Mus musculus: one gene and its partners. The protein of the gene in region 3 binds, or shares a complex with, the protein of the main gene of each other region. Links are inferred from orthologs where the notes say so. Each region holds a gene or a part of one and is shown on either strand. Other genes may lie near its edges. The genes, in order: Ykt6, Rabggtb and Ptar1.

Region 1 (3,631 bases), on a different chromosome or scaffold from region 3:
AATCGTGGAAATTGGATTGATGGAGTCTTTCAGCAGTGCTATCACTGCCTTGGCAGAGAAGTATGGTCTCTGCGCATGTCTGCAGCAAGCAGCTGCTACTGAACCGATTCTTGCTTTTTGGCCAAAGCCCACCCTTCTAACCCCACCTGATCATCTTCCTCCAACATTGCAACTCAACATAAATATGCATAGGCAGACTTATCTCTACTATTGTCCCACAGTGGGCCAAGAACACAATGTTGGGGCTAAGGTGATGGCTCAGAAGTTAAGAGCACTGGCTATGCCAGGCAGTGGTGGCTCACGCCTTTAATCCCAGCAGTTGGGAGGCAGAGGCAGGTGGATTTCTGAGTTCAAGGCCAGCCTGGTCTACAGAGTGAGTTCTAGGACAGCCATGGCTACACAGAGAAACCCTGTCTCCAAAAACCAAAAACCAAAAACAAAAACAAAAACAAAAAACCCCAAAAAGAGCACTGGCTGTTCTTCCAGAGGATCAGGGTTCAAAACTCAGCACCCACACGGCAGCTCACAACCACTTGTAACTCCAGTTCAGGGAATTCTATGTCCTCTTCTGGCCTCTGTGGGCAGTAAGCATTTATGTGGTGCACATACATACATGAGGCAAAATACCCATACATATTAAACAAAACAACAGAAATGTTCACAACTGGAAATTTACGTAATGCCTCGAGAGAAGCAGGCAGTCAGCAGGAGGTACCCTGCCAATGGAAGGAAAATGTATAGAGAACTAAGAATCACCTCAGAGACGTGAACTGCTGGTATCTTAAGGATTTATGCCCAAATGTTCTCCCACCAGAGGAATTAGGAAAACCCTGGTGACCAAAGCTGGAACCAATATGGGAAGTGGGTGGTAGCTCTGAAACCAGCAAGGCCTAGCCTTGGTCAAGCAGCAGGATGCCCCAGTGTACGCCGCTCGTCCCTGGAGCCGAAGCACTTGCTTTAGGTCCCCATATCCCAAGGAGTAGTACCCAAATCTCATCTTGGTTAAATAAAGGGCCAGCCCTCATAAAGAATGCTAGAGAAACTAGGTGCAGTGGCTGTGTAGACAGGGATGCCCTGGAGGGCCAGGCAGAGCTACTCACAGTTTTATAGAAGGCTTTCGACTGTGTTCCCAGCACTTCTGACTTGGATACCAGGTCATCAAGCTTCTCGCCTCGCTCTAACAAAGACTCCATGGTGTTGTGCTAGGCAAGAGAGAGAGAGAGAGAGAGAGAGAGAGAGAGGAGAACTCTTGGCTCTGTGCAGTGAAGTGTCTGCTGACAGCAGGCCCTCATGGAAGTTTAATGGCTAGAAGTGCCTCCTCTGGGCCCCTACCCAACAGACACAACAAGCACTGAGACCCAGGCCCAGAAGATACTCCAGTCAAGTCAACAGCACAGGACCCGGTGGCTTTCCCATAATTTTTCCCAGCACAGACTGAGATAAGCACTGCTCTAGGAAAGCTCACACAAAGCATGTTTGTATTGCACTTGTGTACTGTAAGCACACATGTGCAGAGAGGTTTCTGTGTGTCAAGAAAGACATATCTGAGTGCTCTGTGACCGTACCAGGATAACAATGGCTGTCTAAAATTCACATCCATCCAGAGCCTCTGAATGAAACTGTACTTGGAGATAAAGTCTCTGCAAGTGTCATACGCGTAAGAAGCAGTGGTGCAGGGTTAGGTGGCCTTAGTTACATAACCAGCATCTTCATAAAACTACAGATGCAGGCACAGAGAAGCCATGTGATGACACAGGAGAAACTAAGAAACAGTGAGAACTGCCAGCAACTTCCAGAAACCAGAGAAAGGCCTGGAACAGACATTATTCACATGGCCCCAAGAAGGAACCAGTCTGGCTCAAACTTCAACATCAAGCCCCAGCCTCCTACGAGGGAACACATGGCTGTTGTTTGGAGTCATACAGCTCATGATTAAGTCTGAGCATCCATAGGAGACTAGCATAGTGAGAAAGCTGTGTCATCTGACCCAGGAGCCACAGAGCTACCAAGCACTTGAGACAAGTCCTAATATGTGCTTCAAGTGCAAACATAACACATTTCAGAGACTCAGGCTCAGCATGCAGAAAACTTTATTAGGACTGGAGAGATGGCTGGCTCAGTGGCTAATCATACTGGTTGCTTTTCCAGAAGACCTGGGTTCAATTCTAGCACCCACATGGCAGTTCACAGTCATCTCTAACTCCAGTTCCAGGAGATCCAATGCCTTCTGCATTAAAAGGCACTGCATTTGTGCAGTGCTCAGATATAACATGTAGGCAAAATCACCCTTACATATAAAATAAAAAATTGTAAAAGGTAACACTGTATTAATGACTTTTTTATACTAAAGATGTGATGGAAAGATACTTGGACATTCGGATTAAATGAGTAACAGCAAATCTCAACTACTTTCCTTTTTGTCATTTAAAAATGTGACTCCTTCCAAATTCAGAGTTTACACACACATATCAAATACACAATAGGTTACACGCTCACTGACAGCACCGTGACAGGAAGCCTCGAGATGAGGTCTAGTCTGTCAGCACTACAATCTGCCTTGTGGAAACAGGAGGACAGAGATGGAGGCCCTCTGAGGAGCAGTCCTGCTGCCCGGTCCATTTCCTTTCCCAGACAGCCACTGCCAGGCAGCTAGCTGTCCACTGGTGTGAGTGATACCAACTGAGGAGTCAGCCACACTGTCCTTTACTCCTGTACATAACTGGGCAATTCATACAGCAGAAAACGTCAGCTCAAAGCTAGGGTACAGCTCACTGGCACAATGCTTACTAGGACCACACTGATTCCCAACCTGGTCCCCTCCAAGTAGAGGGCACTGTAAAGTAAGATGAGGTATACAGGGAGAGTGACAAAGTTGGTGGAGTGGCAGCCACCACTTCCTGAAGCATGCTGCGACTGTCATTACGTAGGAATGGACGCTGTGTTTGGTCAGCGCACATCCTCCTGTGCTTTGGCGTCATGTTTGCCCTCCACCCTTCCTGCTTACCAGAATGATTTTGGTCTCGTCCAGTTCGGCCTGCACTTTACTCATGGGATCAGCTTCTCGGGGGTTCTAGGAAACAAAACAAAGTCAAGGTTGAGACTGAAGTAGTTACCTATAAACAATGTTGAACTGAGGAAACTACCAATTCTCACAATAAAAAGGCACAGAACAGTGGACTCAAAACCTAGGGTTATCTGAAACGATTTCTCTGTGGTTCTCAAACAGACCATTCACCTGCGCATCAGCCCTGAGCTACCACGGGTGTGGACCTTTTCCAGGTCCCACAGCTTCTGGGACGTCTCTAGATGGTGTTTCTTTACCTGGTATTTACTAAGGTGATCGTCCAGGCCTGTGTACTGGATTGTAGCCGGGGATCCTACTGGCCAGTCTATTCTATCCACCTGCTTGGAGAATTCATCTAGTACCTGCAAAACAAAGGAGACGCAACATAGCTTCCACCCAACTTCCTAGTACCTTCGGTGAAGCACCTTCCCCGACAGCGCTCATCCCACATGAGACTCCAGGGCACCCCAGGATACACAGACATCCAATGGCAAGGGAACTCTCTAGGTTCAAGTTCCTCTTTTTGAATGTTTATCATTAAAATATATCTCAGTAGTCTAGAAGCAG
Region 2 (4,076 bases), on a different chromosome or scaffold from region 3:
CCCAAATCCACCATCAAAGTTCATGCAGGACAAAACAAACTCAATCGCCTTTTCCACATTAATAGCATCAAGCTTGCCCTATGACGAGAAAGGAAGCAGCCTATTACAGCTACCTAGTACTCAAGTGTTTAATTCGGTCCTTTAATGCAACAGTCAAAGCTTACCAAAAGAGCCAAAGTTGCCACCGCACAAAATGAGAATCTTGTATCAATTTCTCCTAAAAGACAAAAAGAGCCAAGGCAGACATGTAAGTGCTACCAAGTCACCTAAGAACAAAACCCATTAAACTCCCCAAAGTCAAGACTGACTATGCTCACTAGGAGGCAGTCCCCCAACTTCTGAGGAAACCAGCTAGGCAAATAGAAAGCAATAGCCTAGTAGCTTGCAAGGGCCCAGAAAAGAAAGGAACCTATAAAATGGCAGGAGTATATGCCTCGCCCCCCATTCGGGCTAGTAATTTAGTAACATAATCAAAGCCCTGCTTTAAAAAAGGTTCACATCCCACAAAGCAGCTGGTCTCAGGACTGCATTTTGTTCCCCCCCAGATTATCTAAATTAATCAAAGGAAAAATTTCCATCTCCCAACTCAAGATATTTACTAATTTGACAAACGTTTAGAGACCTCCCCAGGTCTTTACCTTCAGGGAAGTTAATTATTATTGGAGATAAAACTTGAACCTACCTTATCTTTTAGTGTGGTGTGCTGACAAGCCAGCACGGGGCATGCTGGGACTTCCAGCAGGCCATTTTATTCCAGTTAGACCAACTGCTTAGTGGGACCTGAAAAGACGGAACAACTTGAAATCTTATGATTACTACCACCAAGACAAAAGATATTCTGAGTAGGAGTAGCTGACAAAAACTGCAATCTGGTCTTACCCCAAATGTCTCCAGCAAAGGAGCCATCTTCTTTCTGTAGGCTCTGAACATAGGCCACGACCTTATCTACGTTGATAACATGAACACTGTCATACAGAGTAAGAATCTGAAAGACAAGCGGGTGTCACAGGTTTGTCCTGGATCAGAGTCACCCACCAGGCCCTCTCAAGCTTACTATAAACTTCTTGTTCCCTTGATAAGGTAAGAAACAGGTAGGGCTTTAACTATCCTCTGGCTCTTCATTGAAACCAAATTTGAACTGGACTGTGCTTCAATTAACATACACAAGGAGTTCACCTTCCAAGGTCTCAGTGTAATTTGTAACTTGCATCAGGTTAGCATTCAGCTAATACATGCCATGACATCACTGACCTGTGGGAAGTAGCCTTTGGGTGGTCACAGCAAGTGGCAAGGTTTCACAAGGGCTCACCTGGACAGCACTGAGCGTGTACAGAAGGTGGGGGTCGTGCCCAATGCTAGCACTTATTCCCCCACACTCATGCTGGCACGACTTGATAAACACCAGGATTTCTTCTCGGTTCATGCGATGAAGCTGTCCCATGAGGTCCATCACAGTCAGGCCCCAATAGACGCCGCTCATTCTCAGGTATTCAGACATGCAGTATTCCTAGGAGAAGCATCTCAGATTTGCCACTCTGACTTTACATAACCCACCTCTACCTAAGTCAGCTGTGAACAACTCGTAAGGCTTTAGAGTGGCGGTTGCCGACCCTTTGGGCCCCACATTCTGATTCCTAACAATGAAACTAGTTATGAAGTAAGTAGCAACAAAAGTTATCTCATGGTCGGAGATCGCCACAACACGTAGAACTGTTAGGAAAGGTCACAGCAGCAAGAAGATTGAGAGCCAATACTCTTAGTCTCCAAGTGCTAACCTCAGGTGAATTAACCAAAAGCAGTATTGATGCCTACTGTTTACTAAGCATCAATTATTGCATTCTACAAATGAAGTCTATGAATACGGAAAGATAAATGACGCTAAAGATGGGAACCAAATGAAGCATTACCTCACAAGCATTTATTCAGGTGAAGGCCTCACTGGCGTGCTGCCAAACCAAACCCAAAAGAACCAGGTGCACAGTTGGCAAGAAGGCCACACATTTGGGCCTATGATTCCCACTAACTGAAAAGTTGTAAAGACAGTCAAATGCCACGCTCTCTAAGACAGAGAGCTGCTGCACAAATACTTTTACCCAAATGACTCCTCCTTGGAGGGTCCCCCCACAGCTTGGGCCTTCTCAAACTCAGCCACCCCTGCTTGCTGCTGGCAACCTCCCCGGCCATTTCCCCAGGCACACCATTACATCAAGTTTAGGTAAAACCTTTTCAAGGTCTCAGCGTAATTCTAGAGCTAAAGTGTTATGACACATCAGCGAATTCAGATAATACATGCCAACACATCATTGACCTTCAAGGTTTTACCCCAGACAGAAATGAGCAAACCCCTTCTACCTGCAGCCCTGCACTTCCGCCCTTTATGTACCAGCACATGACTGATGTGGTCAAATACCAACCTCTGATATACAAGGTACACCTATAATACATTTTAAATCAGGCCTCTCAATTAGTATTATACAAGTAAGTATTATACTTATTGCTGTTAGTCTTAGAAACCTTTCAACAGAAAAAAGAATCATACGCACATAATCATCTTTCTTTGAGCCATAGGAAGCAATATAATCGGCATGCTTCTCCAGCAACAGGGTGTCAGGCGCATCTGACTTGATAGTAACGTCTTTCTGCTGTGTGCCCTTCCAAGAAAAAAGCAGAGATCCCATTCACCATCCGGAAATCGTGACATCTCAGACTCACACATAGCCAGATCTCAGTACTTTTTTTCTTTCAGGTCTCAGAGTAATTCTAGAGCTAAAGTGGTTTATAATCAACTTTAGATTCAGAATACATGCCAGCTCATCATTGACCCGAATCTTGACGCTTATCTTTTGAGTTATGCCAGAAATACACACTCTTGCTTAACAAGTTTGAGGCTTCAGCGCACCTTTCTACAGTCTTCACATGCTAACCCCTTTGCTAAATAATCAGACCCATTAGCTCCAAATTCCACCTTCGATTCTAAGACTCACCCAATAAGTAGGTCAAAGCGATTGCCAAAATAAATTTCCTACTTTATTCAGAGTCTCGGCTATGAAGCCCTGTCTGGTCTGGAACTCCCTGTGTAGACCAGGCCACCTGCTTCTGCCTCACTTCTTTAATCCAAGAGTGTTAGGATTAAAAGGCGTGGGCCAAGGCCGACTTCCTTCCATCCCAGTTAAAATGTTTAACTATGAAACAACATTCGTAAATGATCATGTAACCTTCAAAATACAGGCACGTACAAGTCCCCGATGTTAAGAAAAAATATCAGGCGGCCCAATCCAGGAAGGCTCGCCCACGGTCCGCGGATAAGATCCCAGGCCTCGAGAAGTGCAGAAAACGCTGAGCCATACACAGCTCAAGCGGCAGTCCAAGTATGGCCTAAGGAGGCCGAGGCAGGGGCATTGCGGAGAGCTCCAGGCCAGCCTGGGCCCCACAAGAATGATCGCCTTGCAGGCCCGCCTGTTCCCCATGCTGTGCGAGCCCGCGATGCCCCGCAGCCCGACCCACCGCCCAGACCACCCCTGCCTCCGCGCACCGCAGCGACGGTGCTCTCACCATGTCCGACCGCCGAAAGACTGAAGCGCGCGGGAGCACGGGGAGTCAGGGCCCGCGCGCCTGCGCACACGCGCCCGCCCGGCCGCCCACGCCCTACGTAGCTGGCCACGCTCTGCCCGAAGGACCCCGCGGCCGCGATTTAGCCGGTCGCACACCTGCCTGAAGGACTCCGCGGTCACGATGCAGCCGGCTACGAGTCTGCCTGAAGGACCCCATGTCGCTCAGTTTGCAAAGAGCTTTCCTTAGCATTCAAGGAGCCTGGACATTGATGTCAACCACAGCGTTCAAACCCGGAGTGCTAGTGCAGACCTGTTATCCCAGCACTGGGAAAGCGGAGGCAGGAGGATCAGTGATCCAAATCCTCAGCTGTGTAGGCACTTGGAAGCCAACCTGAGCTCGAGTCCCTATCCCCAATACCCTCGAAGATTGATCAGTTATAGAGTGTCTGTTACCCAGCTAATCAAAAAGCGCCACATATATTGCTATGGAAAGATCCTTGAAAGACACCAGGTGAAAATACATGC
Region 3 (3,631 bases):
GTAGTCCGTGGGACAGCTGTTGAGGAATTAACATCACACTCTTTTCAGGGGCAGGAAAGTGCGGGTACGAGAAGCTGGGGAGCTTTCTTGAGGCTACAGAGCAAATTGGTAGAACAGCTAGAATACAAATTAGGTCTGTATGCCACAAAGAGGCACGTTTAACTATGCTGTAACTAGACTGTCTCTGTCATCGTTTAATTAAGAGAGACGAAGTCCATGAACAGAAATGCTCTGACTCATCATCTCACTAGTACTGGATATCTAGCACGGCAAGATACTATTAACTTTCTACTCTTGCAATGCTGCTAGCGCGTGTATATGTCCTTTGTTTGTAAATGTTTTTACCCTTGGTTTGCAGTCCGAGAGTTTGAATCTGGTGCTGTACGACTCAGGTACGTCTTCTCGAATCTACCCAAGTCTATTCTGAGATGACACTTCACTAAGTTGCCCATCCCCAGTGGCTGAGCTCACTATGTAGCCCTGATTCCATTCCGCTTGTGCTCCTCCTGCCTCCCATTTGAGTAGCTGTGATCCCAAGTGTGCACCACACTCAGACTGAAACGCACTTCTCAGCTGCTCTAGACAACGGGTACTTTTGTTAAGTACTACTTCTCAGAGATAAAGCGCAAAACCCAGACCCTTAGAACAACAGGAACAGTCTTTAAAAACAATTCAGTACATTTTACTGAAACAAGCAAAGAGCACACAAGGCTAGTGACAGGAAGCACAGCAAGTCCTCCTGAAGACAAGGAAGTGGACGAGATGTGAGCACAGCACAGAAGTAGATCCAGGGAGCTGGGTCAAAATCTCAACAGTGAGCTATGCATTTACCGTAAGATGGTCTCAAATGAGCAAGGATTTCTCCTTGGTGCATTGCTGCTGATGTTATGAGAATGGGCCCTGAAAGGGTCCAGGACTAGCAGGCAAGTCTCCCGTCACGTTTCATCCCACTGACCTTTCAGTCCCAATTCACCCCCCAGGCTCCACCCCACTATCATGCTATAGAGCAGAGATAAAGAACTGCAGTAATCAGTATCCCTGACATTAACCACGTGACCTGTGCATCTCTACTCCCACGAAGCTGCTGTTTCTAGTGAACCATTTCTGCTGTTTCCAAATGGACTCAGAGCTCCCCACTCTCCAAGAGTTATGCTACTTTCTAACTGTCGGTTGGACTCTCTCCAGTAGAGTTCATCTGGTGGACAGTACCAGTCTAGTGCCAGCAGCTGGGAATGATAACCTTTTAGAAAAGAACCATATATTGATAACTAAGCCGGTGAAGCCCGCTGCAGCTCATCTCACCTAATCTTTTTATTGGTAGGAGGACCTGTGTGAGAAAGAAACCTGTGTGAAAGAAACCCAGAATGTTCGGTACACTAGCTCAGGCAACCCTCACACTAACATCAAGATAGACAGCAGTCTTTATTTTAAAAATAAAATCTCAAAGGATTACTCTCCTTGTCCCTACAATATGAGCCAGGCTGATGCAATGCTAAGAGTGTCTTGTCTGCTCTGCCTGTTCCTTTGGGTAGCTCCCTCCTGAAACTCACAGCCATGAACAGAGATGGAGCGGTCTACTCTCCTCTGTTGGCTTAAATTCCCTTGGAAGTGAAAACTATATTTACCCTGAAAGACTAGGAGATGAGGAAAAGGGAACTTGGAAGAGAGACCAGAGCTGGTGAACCACAACGACAGGCAGCTCTCTTGGAGCGCACTGACCTTCAACTGCACCTCTTTCAACTGCCCCAACCCCGGGAGGCTTTTAGAAAAGAACCATATATTGTTATGGAATCCTAATACCATAAACAACAAAGGAAAAATGGAGATGACTCTGTAACAGAAAAAGGAACAAAGGGGCTTTCATTCTGACTGATGAGTACTAAATGTTCTAGATGACCCAAGGATAGCTAAGTCTAAGCCTCAAAACACTCCAGAAACTTCCATCTCCCCATCTCTAAAGGGAAAAAACAATGCTGTGAGAGGTGAGAGCCGCACTGAACCTCTGGAGAGCACCTGTATGGGGAGATGCCCCCTGATCCTGGCACCACAGGCCTGCAGAGGCCTTGGGCACCCACGTGACTTATAGGCTTCTTTCCAAGTCTGTCCCCGCTCTCTCCTTTCCTTCCTGAGAGCCAAGGATATGAATATGAATCTGCTATTTCAGCTCCTTGACAGGTGTCCAGAGACCACCATGATATAATTTCAATTCTCCGTAATTTAATAATCTTAGTGAGTTGTATTGACCCCTTATGTTGGGTTCTTTATGCCTTTAGTCTACCAACATATTTCCTTTACCAGTGTCTCGAGCTGTACCAGTGGGAGATGCCAACCCTTCTGTAATTATGAGGATTTCTCTGGAAACCACGGCCGCCTTGGTCCTCTGGGGCTGCTGGAACACCACTTTGAGGGGTAAATTACTACCGAGATTAAAGGGTGGATGGGCAGCATTGGCGATGGAGAATGAATACCTTCAGATCCAGCTTGGCCACGTTCTGTAAAACCCAGATGCGATGGGACCAGGCATTGTAGTTGCTGGGATATCTCCCTGCTGCTTCACTGCAGACTTCCATCTCTTCCTGTATTATCCGCTGTGTCCTCTCTGCAGGAACTGCACCTAAGCTTCCTTTGGCCACAGAGGAGGGCAGGAACGTTTCCTGACTTAACTGCTGCAGCACCCAGCGCCTATTAATATAGCACAGGGGAAAGAAGAGGGAAGAACATGGGTGAGAGAGGAAAATAATCATTTCCCTTGATTCTAGTTTCAATGTACAGGTAATACAAACATAATCGATAAGCTCAGGTATGGGGCTATCAAGGGGCTGCTGCTACTGTGCAATGTAAGTCAACTTAACAGTGTGTGAGGGATGGGGCTGCCATTCAGTCACATCTTTGACCCGTAATTATTCCTGTCTGAAAGAATTACAGGGATGGAAATGGAGAGGAGCCTGAGGAAAAGAAGGTCCAGCGACAGGCCCAAAGTGGGATCCAGCTCAAGGGGAGGTACCAAGGCCTGACACCATTACTGAGGCTATGGAGCACTCACAAAAAGGGACCTAGCAGTCTGCCCTGCAAAAGACCCAACAAGCAGCTGAAAGAGTCAGATGCAGATACTTGCGTCAACCAATGGACAGAAGCAGCTGACCCCTGTTGTTGAATTAGGGAAAAGCTGAAAGAAGCTGAGAAGGGTGATCCTGCAGGAGGACCAGCAGTCTTAATTAATCTGGATCCCAAAACAGACAGCACATACCAGCTGATATGAGGCCCCTAACACACATATAGTAGAGGACTTCCAGGTCTGTGTTCATTCAGAGATGAAGCACCCAACCCTCAAGAGACTGGAGGACCCAGGGAGTTTAGAGGTCAGGTAGGGTGGGGGGTGGGGACATCCACGTGGGGACTGGGTGGGGTAGGGAGGAGGTGTGTGATGTGGAGCAGTTGGAGGGTGGATGGGGGAGGGGCAGGGAATGGAATATGGAGTGTAAAAAATAAATTAAAAATAAAATTAAAAAAAGAAAGTTTCATGCTCATGTTTTGATTTTGTAAGAACAATAGCCTCTTGTTTTTCTATAAAAATACATTGTTTCTAAACTTAAAACAAACAAACAAACAAAACCAGTGTGGGTCAGAAGGG

The links.
Region 1: the proteins of Ptar1 (region 3) and Ykt6 are in contact, whole or in part, in a crystal structure (PDB 6J7F), measured with the Homo sapiens proteins. The link is inferred for Mus musculus from reciprocal best matches to the Homo sapiens genes PTAR1 and YKT6. Residues at the interface, in NP_001093136.1 of Homo sapiens: Glu31, Gly33, Leu34, Ile35, Pro36, Val48, Val50, Glu51, Lys53, Leu54, Gly55, Ser58, Lys135, Tyr191, His225, Ser228, Met229, His230, Val231, Ser232, Asp233, Phe298, Asp301, Leu302, Ser305, Tyr306, His309; in NP_006546.1 of Homo sapiens: Met1, Ser29, Phe30, Phe31, Asn83, Glu84, Pro86, Gln131, Asn132, Pro133, Arg134, Gln180, Phe184, Arg189, Ser193.
Region 2: the proteins of Ptar1 (region 3) and Rabggtb are in contact, whole or in part, in a crystal structure (PDB 6O60), measured with the Homo sapiens proteins. The link is inferred for Mus musculus from reciprocal best matches to the Homo sapiens genes PTAR1 and RABGGTB. Residues at the interface, in NP_001093136.1 of Homo sapiens: Val61, Lys62, Leu65, Pro66, His69, Leu73, Arg76, Leu97, Asn98, Asp100, Phe101, Thr102, Thr103, Asn106, Lys109, Glu110, Leu113, Ile141, Arg144, Trp145, Pro192, Ser193, Tyr195, Ser199, Ile202, Trp203, Gln206, Val231, Ser232, His234; in NP_004573.2 of Homo sapiens: Lys6, Asp36, Tyr37, Cys40, Met41, Glu43, Tyr44, Ile89, Gly90, His91, Asp92, Asp136, Trp138, Glu140, Phe177, Asp178, Gly182, Cys183, Arg184, Pro185, Gly186, Ser187, Glu188, Ser189, His190, Gln193, Trp217, Glu221, Arg222, Pro225.

The regions. Positions count from the first base shown.
Region 1 is NC_000077.6:5,962,132-5,965,762, reverse strand, and holds part of Ykt6 (synaptobrevin homolog YKT6), read right to left. Parts: intron 3,427-3,631; coding exon 3,322-3,426; intron 3,071-3,321; coding exon 3,005-3,070; intron 1,203-3,004; coding exon 1,101-1,202; intron 1-1,100. UniProt on the Homo sapiens protein: Vesicular soluble NSF attachment protein receptor (v-SNARE) mediating vesicle docking and fusion to a specific acceptor cellular compartment. Functions in endoplasmic reticulum to Golgi transport; as part of a SNARE complex composed of GOSR1, GOSR2 and STX5.
Region 2 is NC_000069.6:153,909,382-153,913,457, forward strand, and holds the start of Rabggtb (geranylgeranyl transferase type-2 subunit beta), read right to left. Parts: upstream 2,823-4,076; 5' UTR 2,679-2,822; coding exon 2,544-2,678; intron 2,310-2,543; exon of another isoform or gene 2,229-2,309; intron 1,587-2,228; exon of another isoform or gene 1,508-1,586; coding exon 1,310-1,507; intron 1,231-1,309; exon of another isoform or gene 1,186-1,230; intron 986-1,185; coding exon 880-985; intron 781-879; exon of another isoform or gene 683-780; intron 218-682; coding exon 165-217; intron 79-164; coding exon 1-78. UniProt on the Homo sapiens protein: Catalyzes the transfer of a geranylgeranyl moiety from geranylgeranyl diphosphate to both cysteines of Rab proteins with the C-terminal sequence -XXCC, -XCXC and -CCXX, such as RAB1A, RAB3A, RAB5A and RAB7A.
Region 3 is NC_000085.6:23,707,805-23,711,435, reverse strand, and holds part of Ptar1 (protein prenyltransferase alpha subunit repeat-containing protein 1), read right to left. Parts: intron 2,683-3,631; coding exon 2,469-2,682; intron 1-2,468.